Linked DNA regions of Drosophila melanogaster. The protein of the gene in region 1 purifies or fractionates together with the protein of each later gene. This does not show direct contact. Each region holds a gene or a part of one and is shown on either strand. Other genes may lie near its edges.

What was found.
Region 2: the proteins of SmB (region 1) and msk purify together in Drosophila melanogaster (affinity purification with western blotting, with the first as the bait; one study listed by BioGRID). This does not show direct contact.
Region 3: the proteins of SmB (region 1) and Deaf1 purify together in Drosophila melanogaster (affinity purification with western blotting; one study listed by BioGRID). This does not show direct contact.

Annotation. Positions count from the first base shown.
Region 1 is NT_033779.5:10,424,975-10,428,247, forward strand, and holds SmB (small ribonucleoprotein particle protein SmB), read right to left. Parts: upstream 1,654-3,273; 5' UTR 1,523-1,653; coding exon 1,520-1,522; intron 1,151-1,519; coding exon 554-1,150; 3' UTR 509-553; downstream 1-508. Other genes in the region: Wdfy2 (WD repeat and FYVE domain containing 2), read left to right, coding at 18-298; KdelR (KDEL receptor), read left to right, coding at 2,197-2,835. UniProt on the Drosophila melanogaster protein: Plays a role in pre-mRNA splicing as a core component of the spliceosomal U1, U2, U4 and U5 small nuclear ribonucleoproteins (snRNPs), the building blocks of the spliceosome. Involved in germline establishment and development.
Region 2 is NT_037436.4:8,114,476-8,122,126, reverse strand, and holds msk (moleskin), read right to left. Parts: upstream 5,949-7,651; 5' UTR 5,688-5,948; coding exon 5,598-5,687; intron 4,823-5,597; coding exon 4,587-4,822; intron 4,532-4,586; coding exon 4,034-4,531; intron 3,971-4,033; coding exon 3,794-3,970; intron 3,581-3,793; coding exon 3,435-3,580; intron 3,383-3,434; coding exon 2,585-3,382; intron 2,523-2,584; coding exon 2,299-2,522; intron 2,216-2,298; coding exon 1,905-2,215; intron 1,850-1,904; coding exon 1,377-1,849; intron 1,313-1,376; coding exon 1,116-1,312; 3' UTR 548-1,115; downstream 1-547. Other genes in the region: ldbr (lariat debranching enzyme), read right to left, coding at 12-208; Arp3 (Actin-related protein 3), read left to right, coding at 6,402-6,445, 6,539-6,719, 6,783-7,097, 7,334-7,651.
Region 3 is NT_037436.4:19,816,569-19,821,220, forward strand, and holds the start of Deaf1 (deformed epidermal autoregulatory factor-1), read left to right. Parts: upstream 1-1,605; 5' UTR 1,606-1,966; coding exon 1,967-2,098; intron 2,099-2,533; exon of another isoform or gene 2,534-2,622; coding exon of another isoform or gene 2,623-2,643; coding exon 2,644-3,442; intron 3,443-4,652. Other genes in the region: fibp, read right to left, coding at 25-93, 152-252, 303-435, 492-599, 663-981, 1,049-1,127, 1,182-1,184. UniProt on the Drosophila melanogaster protein: Transcription factor that binds the homeotic Deformed (Dfd) response element. High affinity binding sites contain at least 1 TTCG motif surrounded by additional TCG sequences.

The DNA.
Region 1 (3,273 bases):
TAATTTCTGACTGTCAGGAATACGACAGCATCATTGTCGCCACTGCGGCAAAGCCGTGTGCGACAACTGTTCCACCAATCGCATTAACATACCCATAATGGGCTTCGAGTTTGATGTGCGTACCTGTGATCCGTGCTACAAACAACTTCAGACAGTCGAGCGCCCCTCGCTGGCTTCATTCAATGACGCCAAGCATTCGATCGTCTACATGGACCTGGACGAGGACAGAAAGCGCCTGTTGACAGTGGGCCAGGACAGGCTCATCAAGATCTGGGATCTCTCCAACATCTGGGCATAAAACATCCTGTACGCACACGCACGTACCAAAGGTATAATCATTCACGAGGCGTTTCGGTCTTAACTGGAACACCCAATTAACGAACGATGTGGCTGGCAACGACCAAATCCAGTCCCTGCTGCTTAGGTTCTCATATAATTGATGTAAAGCAATAATCATTGTATGTACGTATGCTTACATTCAACACATAAATACACGAATCCATCGATTAAGTGGTGTTTTCTAAATGAGTTTTTATTAGATTGTACTTTATACTTAATAGCCACCCCTGCCCGGTGGTGGTGCTCCACGGATCATGCTGGGCGGCGGTCCGCGCATCGGTGGCGGAGCACCGCGTCCCATGTTTCCTGGCATCGAGGGCATGCCGCCGGGAATCATGCCCGGTGGCGGTGCACCCATCATCGGTGCTCGTGGCACTCCTCGTCCCATCGGAGCCATGTGCTGTTGGGCGGGTCCGCCCACACCTCTCACGGGACCCTGGAGACCCGCTGGCACGGCGGACAAGTTGATAGGCATTCCGCGTCCGGCCACGCGACCGATTCCCGGACCAGGAGCTGCTCCCGGAATGGGAACTCGGGGCAGGCCCTCCTCTGGCGGCGGTGGTCCCTCCACCGTCAGTGAAACTATGTTCTCGCCGCGCAGCAATACAAAGCCCAGCACGCGCTTCTCCTCGCGCTCGGGCACCTTGGAATTCTTCGAGCGAATCTTCCGGAACTCCTCGCAGTCGCCGAGGATCAAGTTCATGTGTTTGTCGAAGGCTTTGAAGGTACCGATGAAGGTACGCGAGTCCTGCAGCACGATTCGCACCCGATAATTCAGGTGCTGAATCATTTTGTTGTTCTTGCCGATCGTCTGAAATAAAGGAATTCAAAGGATTTAATTGTGAAATACAATAGCATGCATAAAAGTCGCGCCATCTTTTGTAAACCATTTCGACCCTTTAAAAAAGCCGGTATTTATAAAAATTTTAATAAACCACAGAGTTTGAAATAGCAAATCTCAGCGTAATATCGAAGATCACTAAAAATCATAATTTTAAACAAATATAAAATAGTTAATTAGCCAAAACAAATTGTTTTATTTATTCGCATGCATGTTTGTATGTATGTATGCCTATGTAAATACGAAATCGCAACCGCGAAAGTAAGAATCTATGAATTAATACAACTAAACAAAACTTAACCATTGCAGTCAGATGCTTAAAACAGTGTTTTTACTTACCATTTTATTTGATTTCTATGTTAATTCTATCGCTTGTAAATAAAATACAGATGCCGGAACCTCACCACGGCTTTTTTCGATAGGCATGAAGAATAAATCGAGTGGCGTGTGCGGCGGTCAGCATTTTCTGGTGTCTTTCAATCGAGCCTATCGAATATAAATTTTTTATTGATAATCCACATGATTTTTTAAACAAACATTCGACTATCCCTAGCAAAAGAAGAGAAAAAAATTAAATTTTTTTTAAATCTTATGATAAAAAACGAAAAAAGAAAAAATTTGAATCAGTATGTTTTTTCTCAATTTTTTTCGTTAGAGATGGTCGAATTTTCATTAAAAAAATCATGTGGCGGCACTTATCGATATCGATAGGCAGTGGCCATGTTATCAAACTTATTCTTATTCATCAGCCACGTCATTGTTTATGCCGACATTCTGACAAGTTTTTTTCCGAAGCGGCAAAGCCCTCACATCTCTACTCGTTGGCAAATTAGGCGAAAAGTCATTTTGGTAACGTATGCAGCTGTTGAAACACTGAATGCCGCCATTATTGCTATAGTATACACTCCCATTTTCATATAGGCGTGCGTTCCGTGACGCAGCCGCAGCGAAAGGAAGTAGAACAATCAAACAGCCAACCGGGCAGCCAAGTAGCCAAGTCGGCGGATTAGATCACGATGAATATCTTTCGCTTTGCTGGGGATCTGTCGCATGTGTTTGCCATCATAATACTGCTGCTGAAGATATGGAAGACCCGCTCGTGCGCCGGAATATCGGGCAAGTCGCAGATCCTGTTCGCCGTGGTCTATCTGACGCGCTACCTGGATCTGTTCACCACCTACGTGAGCCTGTACAACTCGGTGATGAAGGTGTTGTTCCTGGCCACGTCCGGTGCCACCGTGTATTTGATGTACGTGAAGTTTAAGGCCACCTATGACCACAATCACGATTCGTTCCGCATCGAATTCCTGCTGGTGCCGTGCGCCCTGCTCTCGCTGGTGATCAATCATGAGTTTACCGTGATGGAAGTGCTGTGGACATTCTCGATCTATTTGGAATCGGTGGCCATTCTGCCGCAGCTGTTCCTAGTGAGCAGAACCGGCGAGGCCGAGTCCATCACCAGCCACTACCTCTTCGCCCTGGGATCGTACCGTGCACTCTACTTGCTCAACTGGGTCTACCGGTACATGGTCGAGTCGCACTACGACCTTATCGCGATCTTCGCCGGAGTTGTCCAGACCGTCTTGTACTGCGACTTCTTCTACTTATACATTACCAAAGTTCTTAAGGGCAAGAAGCTCCAGCTGCCGGCATAAGCGGATGATGGATAAGTGCATAGATGTGGGACATTTGTGTTTTGTCGGCACACATCATCAATCGACGTCAGAGTAAACAAGCGAGCGATCCACGGCCCGTTTGACAACGCGTATTTCGTTCATATTATACAAAAGATACATAATCGAGGGGAGCGCCTAAGTTGTAATTATTTAATGAGAAATAAACCGAAAATCGAAAGTACACTATAAACTATGCAATACCGACATCGTACATTGAAAATGTAACAAATGTATTAATCTCCGTTTTCCGAACTGCACTCACAAATTTTAGAATCCAAAAATATTAAAAAAAAAAATCATTACTCCAGTAAGAGATAACGTTAATTGACAAAATCGAAACAAATGTTTTCTCTTTTGCGCGGAGGCTTATCTGATTCGCAATAGTATCACAGAAGAGGTCATAGATTTCTTTGTTTA
Region 2 (7,651 bases), on another chromosome or scaffold:
ACTCTACTCACTTGTAAAAGGAGCACATATCCAGGTACTTCTTTGGTACAGCCATCGTCTGCAAATCCTCCAGATTCCGGGTGGACTGAAAATCGCCACAGCACAATAACAAGTCGATCTTGGTGCCGCCAACCTTTTCGATGCCCTCTATGGTGTCGTATATTCGTTCCAGCTCGCCATGTGCACATCCTTCGACAGCTATTTTCATGGTTAATAAAGGTAAGTTACTACTTTATAAATAAAACTTGGTTGTAAACAAATGCAACCGGTTGTCCAAACAAATAACGCGTTCTGATATCGCTTATCGATCGGCAATTCAGTGTGAGAAAACGTCTTTGGGGAACGACAGGATGGACGCTCTTATCGATAACTCTACTTAATGACCGCCAATATTTAAACTGCTGAAATCTTCCGGAAACAAAGTCTTTCAGCACTTAGCATTATTAAATATAATTATATATATTAGATGTACTTATAAAATTCGTTCCCTGAACGGTTTAAATACCTCACAAAAAGGTACACAAATAAGAAAAAGATTTCTCCAGTTCAAACGTTAAAAATTTTTTTTTTTTATTTTTCAAAAATATCGCTTCATTTAGTACAGAATATACGTGTATGTGTGTATAAAGAAAATGTATGTGAAATGCTCTGCGTTGAATTCTCATTCTCTGACCTAGATGCCAACTTTTTTTTGGAGTTCTACGGGGGCGTGCTGGTGGGCACAATCTCATTTAATGAGACCTTCTCGTCCTGACGTGTTTGTTTTTCGTTTCGTTTCGTTTCGTTTACATACAAAGATTTACAATGGACTTAAGTTATCATAATTTAGTTGGCCGCCCTGGCCACAAAATAGGAAATAAAATATAAATCTACAATAAATATAGTGCGGTCTCGTCGCCGCTCGACCGATCGATTTTTTAATCTGATTAATCGACCGATTGTCGCAGCATACATGGGTACACGGAGTGTACGAAAACCAAGAGAATGCCTTCAAAGCCATCATCAGCATGCCAGATGTATTTTGTTTGATGTTTTTGTTATTTTTGGAAAGAATATGAGAAACAATCAAGTCAGAAATCGAACCAAGTGTCTGGTGATCTGGTCAATTCAGTTTCTTAGGAGCCGAACTTAAACGACGTGGGCACGGCAGTCTGCGGAAAGGCGAAGCCACCTTGCTTCTCGATCAGCTTCGATTCCTTGGCGGCTTTGCGTTGGTCAGCCGTCACCACCACCTCTTGCAGCGCCTTGGCTTGCTCAGGTGTGAGGTTGGAGGTCAACAGCGCATACCAGGCTTGGTCTTGTGCAGAAAGTGCTGATGGCGAAGATTAGGTTATTAGTTAGTTTTCCAATGGTGTACAAAATTCAGCACAACTTACCAGTAATAACTTCCTTAAACGTCCAGTACTCATCGATGGCGCTTTCGTTCTCCTCATCGTCGATGGGCGTGGTAAACGACTCCAGTCCAGTCTCGTTCAGATCACCCACAGACTCCTCGGCGTCACCGTCCGAGTCAGCATCGTCGTCCTTGATTTCGGCTTTCACTTCGAAGCCCGACTCATTGCCCTTGGTTTTGGCAAATTCGGCCAATTTATCCAGATAGTCCGGTGCCATTTCGTCCATGTCATCCTCGTCACTGGACAGAGCCTCCTCACAGTCGTCACCGTCCTCCTCCTCCTCATCTTCCTCTTCCTCCTGAGCACGAGACTCGTAGGCGCGTTTTAGACCATCGAAAAGCAAAATAAGTGCGGGCACAATCTTTCCAGCCACTTCGCTCAGAACCTGGGGCTTGGCTTCGCCCAGCGAGATGAGGGTGCACAGACCCAGGACGCAAAGTTTGCGATCGTGGATGCTGGAAAACGTAACAATAAACTATCTAGATCATTAAAAAGCATGTCCATTCTTACCCTAGGAAACAGTCCGTGTCGTGAAGCCACTGCTTGATAAAGTGCGCGCTGATAGAGTCGTTGTTTTGCTGGGACATTTTGTCCAGAATGGACAGCAGCAACTGGGGATTATAGTAGAGTGCCGCGATTACCACTTGCAGGCACATAGTGCGCAGCTCTGAGGATTGAACTTCACGTGTTAACCGGGACAGAGCCAGCTCCACGAACATATGTATCACTGAGTCGATTTGACCCTTGCACTGCAAGATAATCACTTCCATCAGTTTGGCGGCATGGCACTCGGGATCCTCGCCAGGGCTACTAGTAAGCATCTAAAATAAATTATAATTATTATAATTATTATTATAGTTATTCGAGGTTCAGACATATTTAATTATTAAGAATAGAAGCTTACCGTTTTGCACATGTCGAGAATCGCCAACAGCCTGTTGGGATTGGAGAGGAAAGCGGGCGTGTCGACCGTCACATAGTTATGCAGAGCAGGCATAATGTCGATAAAGTAGTCAATACCGTCCTTCTTGAACACCTGATAGATGAGCTCCAGCATCTGCCACATTTCGGGGGAAATGGCCTTGGCTGTCAGGTCGTAGACCAGGGAGAAGGTTTCCTCATAGAAGTCTGAAGAGATGACCAGATATTTTTATAAACGATATCAACGATTGAGGGCACAGCCAACTAACCAGTTATGTTGTGCTGGAAAATGTGTCCGACAACATTAATGACGATCGGGTGCAAGTTAAGCAGGACATCAGGATGCTCTTCCATCACACTGAGCAGAGTTTCGATAGTGTTAAGCAGACTCATGGCCGTGATGGCCTTCTCGTCGGATCCCTCCTCAGATTCTAGGACCTGGCTGAAGGTGGTGGCCAGGTGCTGGCAGATCTCGGTGGCCACGGGCAGCAATTGCTCGGTGAAGGTGCACACGATCTTTTGCATAACGTTTGTTAGATCTTCGTTCTCCGTCTCTCGAATGATGGTAAGCAGCTCCTTGGTGATCTCCTTGATCTGTGCCTCCACGTATTGCGGCGCCTCGTCCTGGGACGATATGAACATCTGCAGACCGATAGCTGCCTCCACTTTGACGGGCAGCTCCTTGTCGGTAAGCAAGGCGTTTGTGGTCAGACGCATTATCTCGGCCAGCACTTGGGGATTCTTGATTTGAACGTCACAGAAATAGTGCAGCACCCAGCACGCGCGCGCTCTCATGTGGCCCGCGGGATTTTGGAATTCTGGGAAGACGTAGGTGGTCAGCATGGACTCCACTTGGTCGCGGTACGAAGCCTTCTTCAGCAGTACGTCCGCCAGCGTTCCAATCATGTGCAAGGCACCATCTTTCTGTTTGTTGTCCGCATTCGGCGATGTAATTATCTGCATAATTGTGGCCATTGCCTTGGGCAAAATGCCCTTGCGCTTTTTGCACATAGAATGCAGCAGAGATTGGGCTGCCGGTACAGGTGTGGCATAATCCTCAAAGATATCTATTGGAATCGGTTAGTAATGTAGTTCAAGTCATTTAAAAAGTTCTCTTACCGAACTTAAGGCGAATGTACTCGTAGGGATCGCTTTCCCAGAGCTCCTGATCGGAGTCAGTAAACGACATGATGGGAAAGATCACGTCCTGGATGACAGCCACCATGTGAGGCTTAATCAGCTTCCAGGTGTAGGCGTGGCTAACCCTGCAAACGGAATAAATAACATTTAAAAAAACGAGTCAACTGATTGGAATCGACTTTTGTAACTGCAATTATAAACACTACATCTTATCAGCTTTAAAAATTTTCAGACTTTCTATCAAAGATTAGGTATCTCCTAATTAAGTAACATCGATTTTACATTCCAACTATATATCAAATGTCACATGAGAATTTATAGAATACTAAATTACTTACGCATTCTTCAGATAGTTGAGCACATCAGTGAGGACGCGTGGTGAGACGTAGACTCTGTTTCGGTACTGGTCGAGGATCTTGAGGAGCACCTCCAGCACGCCCTGGCTAAACGTGGGCAGATACCACTCTGCGAATTTTTGGTATTTTTCACTAACCACATTGCTGGGACTGCCATAACTAAATTTATACATACAACGTTAGTTATCTAGACTATGACTATAGATACTGCCGTCAACGTACCGCTCGAACATGCGAACCATGATGTGCAGGGCCCACTTCTTAGTCTTCCAGTAGGGGAACTCCGTTCGCTCATCATCGTCCAGGTGCGAGCTATCGGGCACTGCGCGATCAGCCACCTGACGACAGATCTCCATCCACTGCGAGAAGATCTCCTTGGTAATGAGGTCCAGTGGAAGGGTGTATTGCGTGAGGGCATAGTAGATCTTGAGAATTTGCTTTTGTAGCAGCACAGATTGCTCGGACTGCTCTGCCAGCAGTCGGACCATCAGCTGGTAGATCATGGGCAACAGTAGGTTCATTGCCTCGTTTAGCGGCGTCCTCTCCTCATGCCGCTTGTACTCGTAGGTCTTGACCAGCTGGTACATGGTTACCAGAGCTCCGTTCCAGCCGTTGACATCCTGGTTTTGCAGATATATGCTGATGCTATCCACCACCTGTGGCCAGCGTCCAGGGAAATCGCTTTTAATGATGTGATTGACGCAGACAGACAACTGGACCCTGTGTACAGAACGAAATTAGCCCCCTGGAAAGGATTTTCAATGGATTTACCCACCTAATCAACTCGGGGGCGTGCACAATAGCATCTACAATAGCGCCACGGATCATAGCCCGATCCTGTTCGTGTATAGAGAAGGGTATTGGCTCTCCAGGCTTGGCCTCGTGGTCCGACCAGCTGCTGTTGATCAGATTCTTGAGGTAGACAGCACCGGCCTGGCGCACCGGCTGTTCCACCGTCGTCTGCATAACGATCTGCAGTATGGTGGGCACAAATCCGATGATTTTGTGTATCTGTGGGGATTTTAATGTATAGAAATAAAATAGAATGGATATGTTTACACAGCTGTTTGGGGTTGGGTTAAATTTGAATTGGTCAAAGAATCAATGGCAGAAGCACTTTAAATTCCGTTCACAGAGCTCAATTAATATGGAGGAGCCAAGAACAACTGCTGGCCATAAGCGCTGATAAAGTTAATTGACAACAGGGGGGTTGGTGGGAGGCGATTGGGAGGGGCATGCAAATCGTTAGATGCTGACTCAGTCGTAATGAGCATGCCTCTACAGTGGGGCCAAAGCAATTGGTTAGTGGGGTGGGGTCTAATTAGACTGGCCGCTCTGATTGCCCACATTTATTTCCAAGGGAATTGCGTAAGCTTCAATCAAAGGGCATTCCGGCGATATTTCGAAAGTCTCAATTAAATATTTATTAACAATTCAGTGGATTTCCGAAGAATCACACGAAACTCGCAATAAATATGTACACATATAGAAATATATATAGCATACATACATATGTAGGTGCCCCAAAGATATCGACTTGTTGCCTCTGGGGCAACAACATAGAAGTCGGGATAATGGTAAACACATAAAGGGCAAACTTTTTGACCGATATCGGATTACACTATCCACACCCACACACTTGTACAACGACCAGAGTGATGAAGTGCGGGAGCGAGGGAGGTTAAAAGCGAACAATTAAAAAAGCACATGGTTTTCAGGCGATGGCGCCACCTCCAAAGACCTTTCGAATTCAAGTGCAGGCGTTTATTTTTGGGAGCAAACTCACCTGGGCCAGTTGATCCTCGGCCGCCTTGCGCTGTTCCGGATTCGGATCAATAGTTGCGCGCAACAGTTCCGTGAGTTTTTGTGCCTCCATTTTTGCTACTTTTGCTTGATTCTATGTTTCGCCGGTCTTTCTGCTGCACTTCGTCGTTTGGCGGTCACCTTGTGCCCACTGTGCACCCGCTGTTCTTGCCTTTATATAGACCTTGGTTTATGCTAGCCGAACCAGTGGCTCCAATGTGTGGGCCAAATTGCAAATCTCTTTTTCCGGAGGAAAAAACGTGGAAAAGACTCCACACACGCACACACACACCGCCGAAATTCGCGAGACGAACGAAGCTTAGAAGAAGAAGAAACAGCGCCTGTGTGTGTTGACTAACGCCGCAGTGTATGGGGCCCTACAGGGCTGCATTATGTTCGCCGGTAACAGTTTAGCCAAAAATTCGAGCAATATTGAAAAGCCTTCGCTGCGGAAAATCTAGGCACCATTTATATATAGACCACTTGCTTCATAAGGTAACTATATTTAAAGGCTTAAAAAACAGCGACTTTTCACAATTCCCGATAAATTGCCATTCAAGTTGCATGGCCAATCGATTGTTGCAGCCCTGGCAGCTGCTCGTACGTGAACACGCGAATGTGTGTGTGACGAAGAGCAAAGTGACACATAGTTGGAGGTGTGGTTGAAAATATATAGAAATCTGGGTTTATCTGCAACTGAAACGAAGGGAAATTTGTGTTAAAGGCGAGCGAAGATCGCAACTGAAGAGCTTTAACTGGCAGCAAGGCAAAAGGACGAGCAGCGACCATGGCAGGCAGGCTACCGGCATGCGTAATCGATGTGGGCACCGGGTGAGTTTTTAGTTTCGATTGCCCGTGGGGGTCTCCAATTGGACGGAAAGGAGGTCGACTGACTAACACTCTGCTTGTCTGCACATCCATCAGCTACTCCAAACTGGGATTTGCCGGGAATAAAGAGCCGCAGTTCATTATTCCCTCGGCGATTGCCATCAAGGAGTCGGCACGAGTGGGAGACACCAACACACGGCGCATCACAAAGGGCATCGAGGACCTGGACTTCTTCATCGGCGATGAGGCCTTCGATGCCACCGGCTACTCCATCAAGGTATGCTCTTGTATCTATGGTCATTAAGCAACCGACATCACATTTATCATTGCATTCCAATAGTATCCGGTGCGTCATGGTCTGGTGGAGGACTGGGACTTGATGGAGCGCTTTCTGGAGCAGTGCGTCTTTAAGTATCTGCGCGCCGAGCCTGAGGATCACTACTTCCTGCTGACTGAGCCGCCGCTAAATACGCCCGAAAATCGGGAGTACACCGCGGAGATAATGTTTGAGACGTTCAACGTTCCTGGTCTGTATATCGCCGTCCAGGCGGTGCTTGCCCTAGCCGCCAGTTGGGCCTCCCGGTCCGCAGAGGAGCGTACCCTTACAGGCATCGTGGTGGACAGCGGCGATGGAGTGACGCACGTCATACCCGTGGTAAGTAGCACAGATCTTATCTTATCAGCAGAGTTGGGTTGGCACTGGATTCGGTAAAAACTGTTTGAAAAGAGAACCCAAAACCGAAACAGTCGACGGATTTATTTAATAAATAAATAGCACATTCTGAGGCTATTATTAATACTACAGAATGTTATATTAAGAGGGAATTATTAAGATAAAATAGCGTATTAGTTATAACCATATAAATATATTAAGCTGTTTTTCATTTCTAGGCCGAGGGCTATGTGATCGGCTCCTGCATCAAGCACATTCCCATCGCGGGCCGCAATATCACCTCGTTCATCCAGAGCCTGCTACGCGAACGGGAGGTGGGCATTCCGCCGGAACAGAGCCTCGAGACTGCTAAAGCGATCAAGGAGAAGCACTGCTACATCTGTCCCGATATCGCCAAAGAATTTGCCAAGTACGACACGGAGCCGGGCAAGTGGATACGCAACTTTAGCGGCGTTAACACGGTAACCAAGGCGCCGTTCAATGTGGACGTGGGCTACGAGCGATTCCTGGGACCCGAGATCTTCTTCCATCCCGAG
Region 3 (4,652 bases), on another chromosome or scaffold:
TAATGTCGAGAAATAAGTCCTTACCGAAAGTTGCCATCCAGTTCGTGAAAGGCGCGCTCGAGAAGAACGGGTTTGAGGCGCATGCAGACGAGGCTAAATGCAAGGACTAAACTATATAATAGCTCGTGTGCGGTAGAAAAATAAATCTCACTGCTTAATCTCCTTTTCCTTGTCGAGTAGACAGCGCAACTCCCGCAGGTCCAAGAGAAACTCTTTGTCCATTTCGGTATCATAGTACTCCGGTCCAGTGTGCTGCATTTAGTAAATTAGTTTCGTAAGGAATTAGCAGAGCTAAGTCATACCTGGTAAGTATACGTCCAGTAGATCATGATGGCATGGGAGCAGGTCAACAAATCACTGAAGCTCAGGTATTGCAACTTTTTTTTGGTGGTTTCGAAACGCAGGCAGGCCAGGAAAACAATGCAGGCGTACTTTCTGTAAGAGTGAAAGGTTTAGCTTTTTGAAGTTCAATACATTGATTATATTCATACTTGGCTAGATCGGTGGATATGATGAAGTGTTGCTTGATGTTGTTGGTTAACGTGCCCGGCATTTCCTCGACTGCCTTAAAAATGCGTTTTACGTTGTCAAATTGTCGGCTGAAGAAGAAGTTGAAATATATTAGACTCTACTCTGCCTAAGTAGCGGCCAAATTTACCCACCGAACTGATTTTAGCTTGACGCACGTCTTCTCGGCCACCTCGTCGAGGTCCTTGCGGTAGCGGGACGACAGCTTCTTGCCAAGAATTTCGCGAGCCACCACATCATCGATGGAATAGTACTTCTCGGTGATAAGGTCACGCATTTGTGGCTCCAGCTGGAAGCAGGATTGCTCCATCAGTTTGGTGGGTGCGTTTAGGTATAGTTCAATCAGGGAATAGGTGCGGTAATGATCCAGTACATCCGATGCAATCAGGTCGCTGGGAGCGCCCATGGAGTGACCAAAACCCTTCTGTTTCAGATAGGACACCGCCTCGCTGGCTATAATTGTAAATCGATGGAGCCGTTTGACATGAAACAAGATTGCAATTGGGAGAAGAAAACTTACAGGAGAAGCCTTCGATCCATAGCTGGTAAATTTCTGGATCGATGATTGTATAATTACTTATAAACACATCCACATCGGCCTGTAAGCATTCAGTTTTACTATTTATTATTATTTTGGATCATCAGATAGTTACCATTATATTGCTAGAGTGACCGTTTTCTGAACTAGCTGTCCAATTGGATATATCGAAATGTATGTTAGAGATGAAACACTGTGTAGTTCCAACACAAGCAGCATAGTTTATTCTTCTCATGAATTTAAAACTTTTCCTTGAAAGTAATAAATCGTTCTTGTTTTCATAACATCAATATATCCTATTAATAAACAAGCGAAAATGTTTAGAGTAATAATGGTAAAACCAAATTCGGTGTGATTTTGAGTTTTAAGATCAAGTCATAAGGAAATCTTTAAAATTGTAATTCTCAGAAATCTTAATTTAATATGCAAGATATATAGCTGTAAACTTTCCGATATTTAAAAACCAGAGATGGGGCACAGATAGCGAGCACGAATCACGACTATCGATAGTGCCGATAGCGGGCGATAGCTGCAACGCGCATGACAACTCTAGTTATCATGAGGAAGAAGAGGAGGATATCAACTTTTTTAGTAAATTAGTAAAGTTTAAGCTTAAAAAATGTAAATTGCAATGAACCACCAGCTGTAAATAGGGCAATGCAACTTGAACGCGACCTGCGCGCAATTCGCATGTAAGTCGTGGTGAGCGCTGAAAAAAACGCGGATCGCGGCGGCAGCAACAACAACAACAACAACAGACCGTCCGTCGTCTCGGTAGACGTCGAATAATATACATATATCGCAATAATCCAATTGCAAGTGGTAATCCGATGAACAATTCAAGTGCATTACTATCGTTGGACCGCAGAATAAGTGAAAGTGAACTGGCATAACAATACTATGGAACAGGTTGACTCCTCCACCGAGCTGCACCTGAATAGGAAAGATCTGGCCGCGCTGGCCGAGGATGTTGTGAAAGAAGAGGTGATATTAGAAAGCTCCAGCCATCACCATCATCATCATCACCACCAGGTAAGAAAAAGGAGCAACAAACGGCTGCGTAAGGAGCCCATTTGGTTTTGGATTTTCCATTCGCTTCTCCTTTGGCGGGGTGGTTTTGGTTCCGGACTGTGTGTTTGGTTCAGGTTCTATCTATTGAATCCGAAACCGAATCTGGCTCGAAAACCGCTCCGCTTCGCTCTGCGCAGTTGTGGAAAGTGGGTGGTGGGTGGTTGGGCTAGGTGGCCTGGGGGTGGCGCAACTTGCGCCCTACGGAACGCTCCGTGCGACCCACTGGGCCACAGGCATTCCCCGCTCGCCTTCTCGCCTCCATCCACTCCCAATTTGCCTCCTCCTCCTCGTTTTCCCCCTCCACCCACCGCATTTGTGGCGCACAAATGTTGTGTATACCGATTTTCATTTTTCCCATGCTGTGTTGTTTACTTACATTCGAATTTTCATTCCCGATTCCTGTGCAAATCGCATTGAATTAAATCGCAAACGCCATCAATTGGCCGCTGGACACTCACCCACATACATGTGACGAACGTGGGAATATGTGCGCTATGGTAATGCAGTTGGACACCAAGGTTCGCATGGTCACATCCTCCTCCAACGACAACAGTGGTAGCGGCGGCGCCAGTGGCGGTACAAGCGGAGCGGGCGGAGGAAACGGCGGTGGCGGTGTGGTTTCGGTGCCCGTATCCCTGCCCATCGGTTCGATGATAACCGGCACTACCTTCAATGTGATCACGCCCGACCAGCTGCCCCCTCACTTCAAGCCGATGCTGTGCGTCGACAACAATGGCTACCTGTCCGGCAGCACGGTCAGCATGGGCAACGACCTCAAGACGATCGTCATCCAGCAACAGCAGACGCAACCAGGCGGCGGCGGTGGCGGCGCCAATAATGCGGGCACCAATACGACCGCCACAAATACGATTGGACTGAATCACGATGGCTCCGGGAGCAACAATAGCCACGACAGCCTGGCCACCTTGGAGCACGCCGCGGGCGGAGCGAGTGGCGTCGGCGGTGGCGGCGGCGGAACGGGTGGTGGCTCCTCGGGATGGTCGGAGAACCCGTCAACCCAGCACAATGAGGTCTTCCAGATCCGCTGCAAAACCACCTGCGCCGAGTTATACCGCAGCAAGCTGGGCTCCGGCGGCCGTGGACGCTGTGTGAAGTACAAGGACAAGTGGCATACGCCCAGTGAGTTTGAGCATGTGTGTGGCCGGGGCTCCAGCAAGGATTGGAAGCGTTCGATCAAGTACGGCGGCAAATCGCTGCAGTCCCTCATCGATGAGGGTACGCTCACGCCGCACGCGACCAACTGCAGCTGCACCGTCTGCTGCGACGACGAAGCAGGTGAGTCAGGTGAGACGAACAACAATTACTACACACTCCCCCCTTCTGCATGGCGCACCGAGTTGACCTGGTCATCGGTCCGTCATGGTGTCCCAGGTGCAGGACTCGCGCACAAACCGAATTCATAACACCACAGCTTTAAAAACCCACCTGACTTCTGTTTATCAACAATTTTTTGTTTGCAAACTATAGGGTTTAAACAATTCCAAGTAATTGGAAATTTTACTCAGCAAGGGCTTCTTGGGCAAAAATGTTGCAAGAAATAATATTAAAACTTTCTTATTCTCAAGTGTGTATGTCATATTGTAACCCTATAGAACATCTCATTAAGGAATGAGATGTAATGATGAACTCCAATTAAGAACACAAGTCCGTTTTAAGTTGAAGGCAGCCGTCGGGCTGACATATATTTATTCAATTTCTTCTTTTGATTTTAGAGTAGGCAGAAATGGTTCTGTCAGCTCAACGTCTACAGAGTCTCTCCGATTTTACAGTTTTTTATATATTTGGACTTAGGCTAATCCGCGTAGCTGCGCTGCCGGGTACGCCAGCAGCGGAGCGGCGTTCTTATGTATATCTTATATATCTAGGCTTATCGGGAGAGCGAGATATGTATGTACGTATGTAATATGTATTTGGTCGGCGTGTGAATGCTGACCATGCACTTATACTTTTTGCCTTCGAGTGGGTGATCATGTTACATCCGCCCTGGCCTAACTGCGTGCATAAACATAAACATAAACATAGCAACAAAGTGCTGCCATAAGTTAATATGCTATTTTATTTAATTGTTCTTAATATTGCATAGGCACATACTACATCTCCCTCCTTTTGAAAAATAACGTAACCTAGTGAAGTTATTTTGATTATTAAATGCAAATTATTTTATTTTTATTTTTATTTTGTTTGTGTTTTTGTTTGAACAACAATAGTTGATTTTATAATGCAAAGATAAAAATATACGTAGTGTATGGAAAATTTGTATAAATGATTAAGGAAAATATAAGTTTAAATTCAATCATGAATGAAATTTCTTTAATCTATCTTTATGAACTATTTGTTTTTTGTTTTTATTAGTAAGTAGCGTAATATTGTTATTATCTCCTATGCTTTCTATCTTATAGGGCCCCGTATATTTAAAGTCTAATTTATGACCTACCTCATTTCTTAGTAAAACTTTATCTCCTACTTCTAATTCTATGTCTTTTATTTTTAAGTC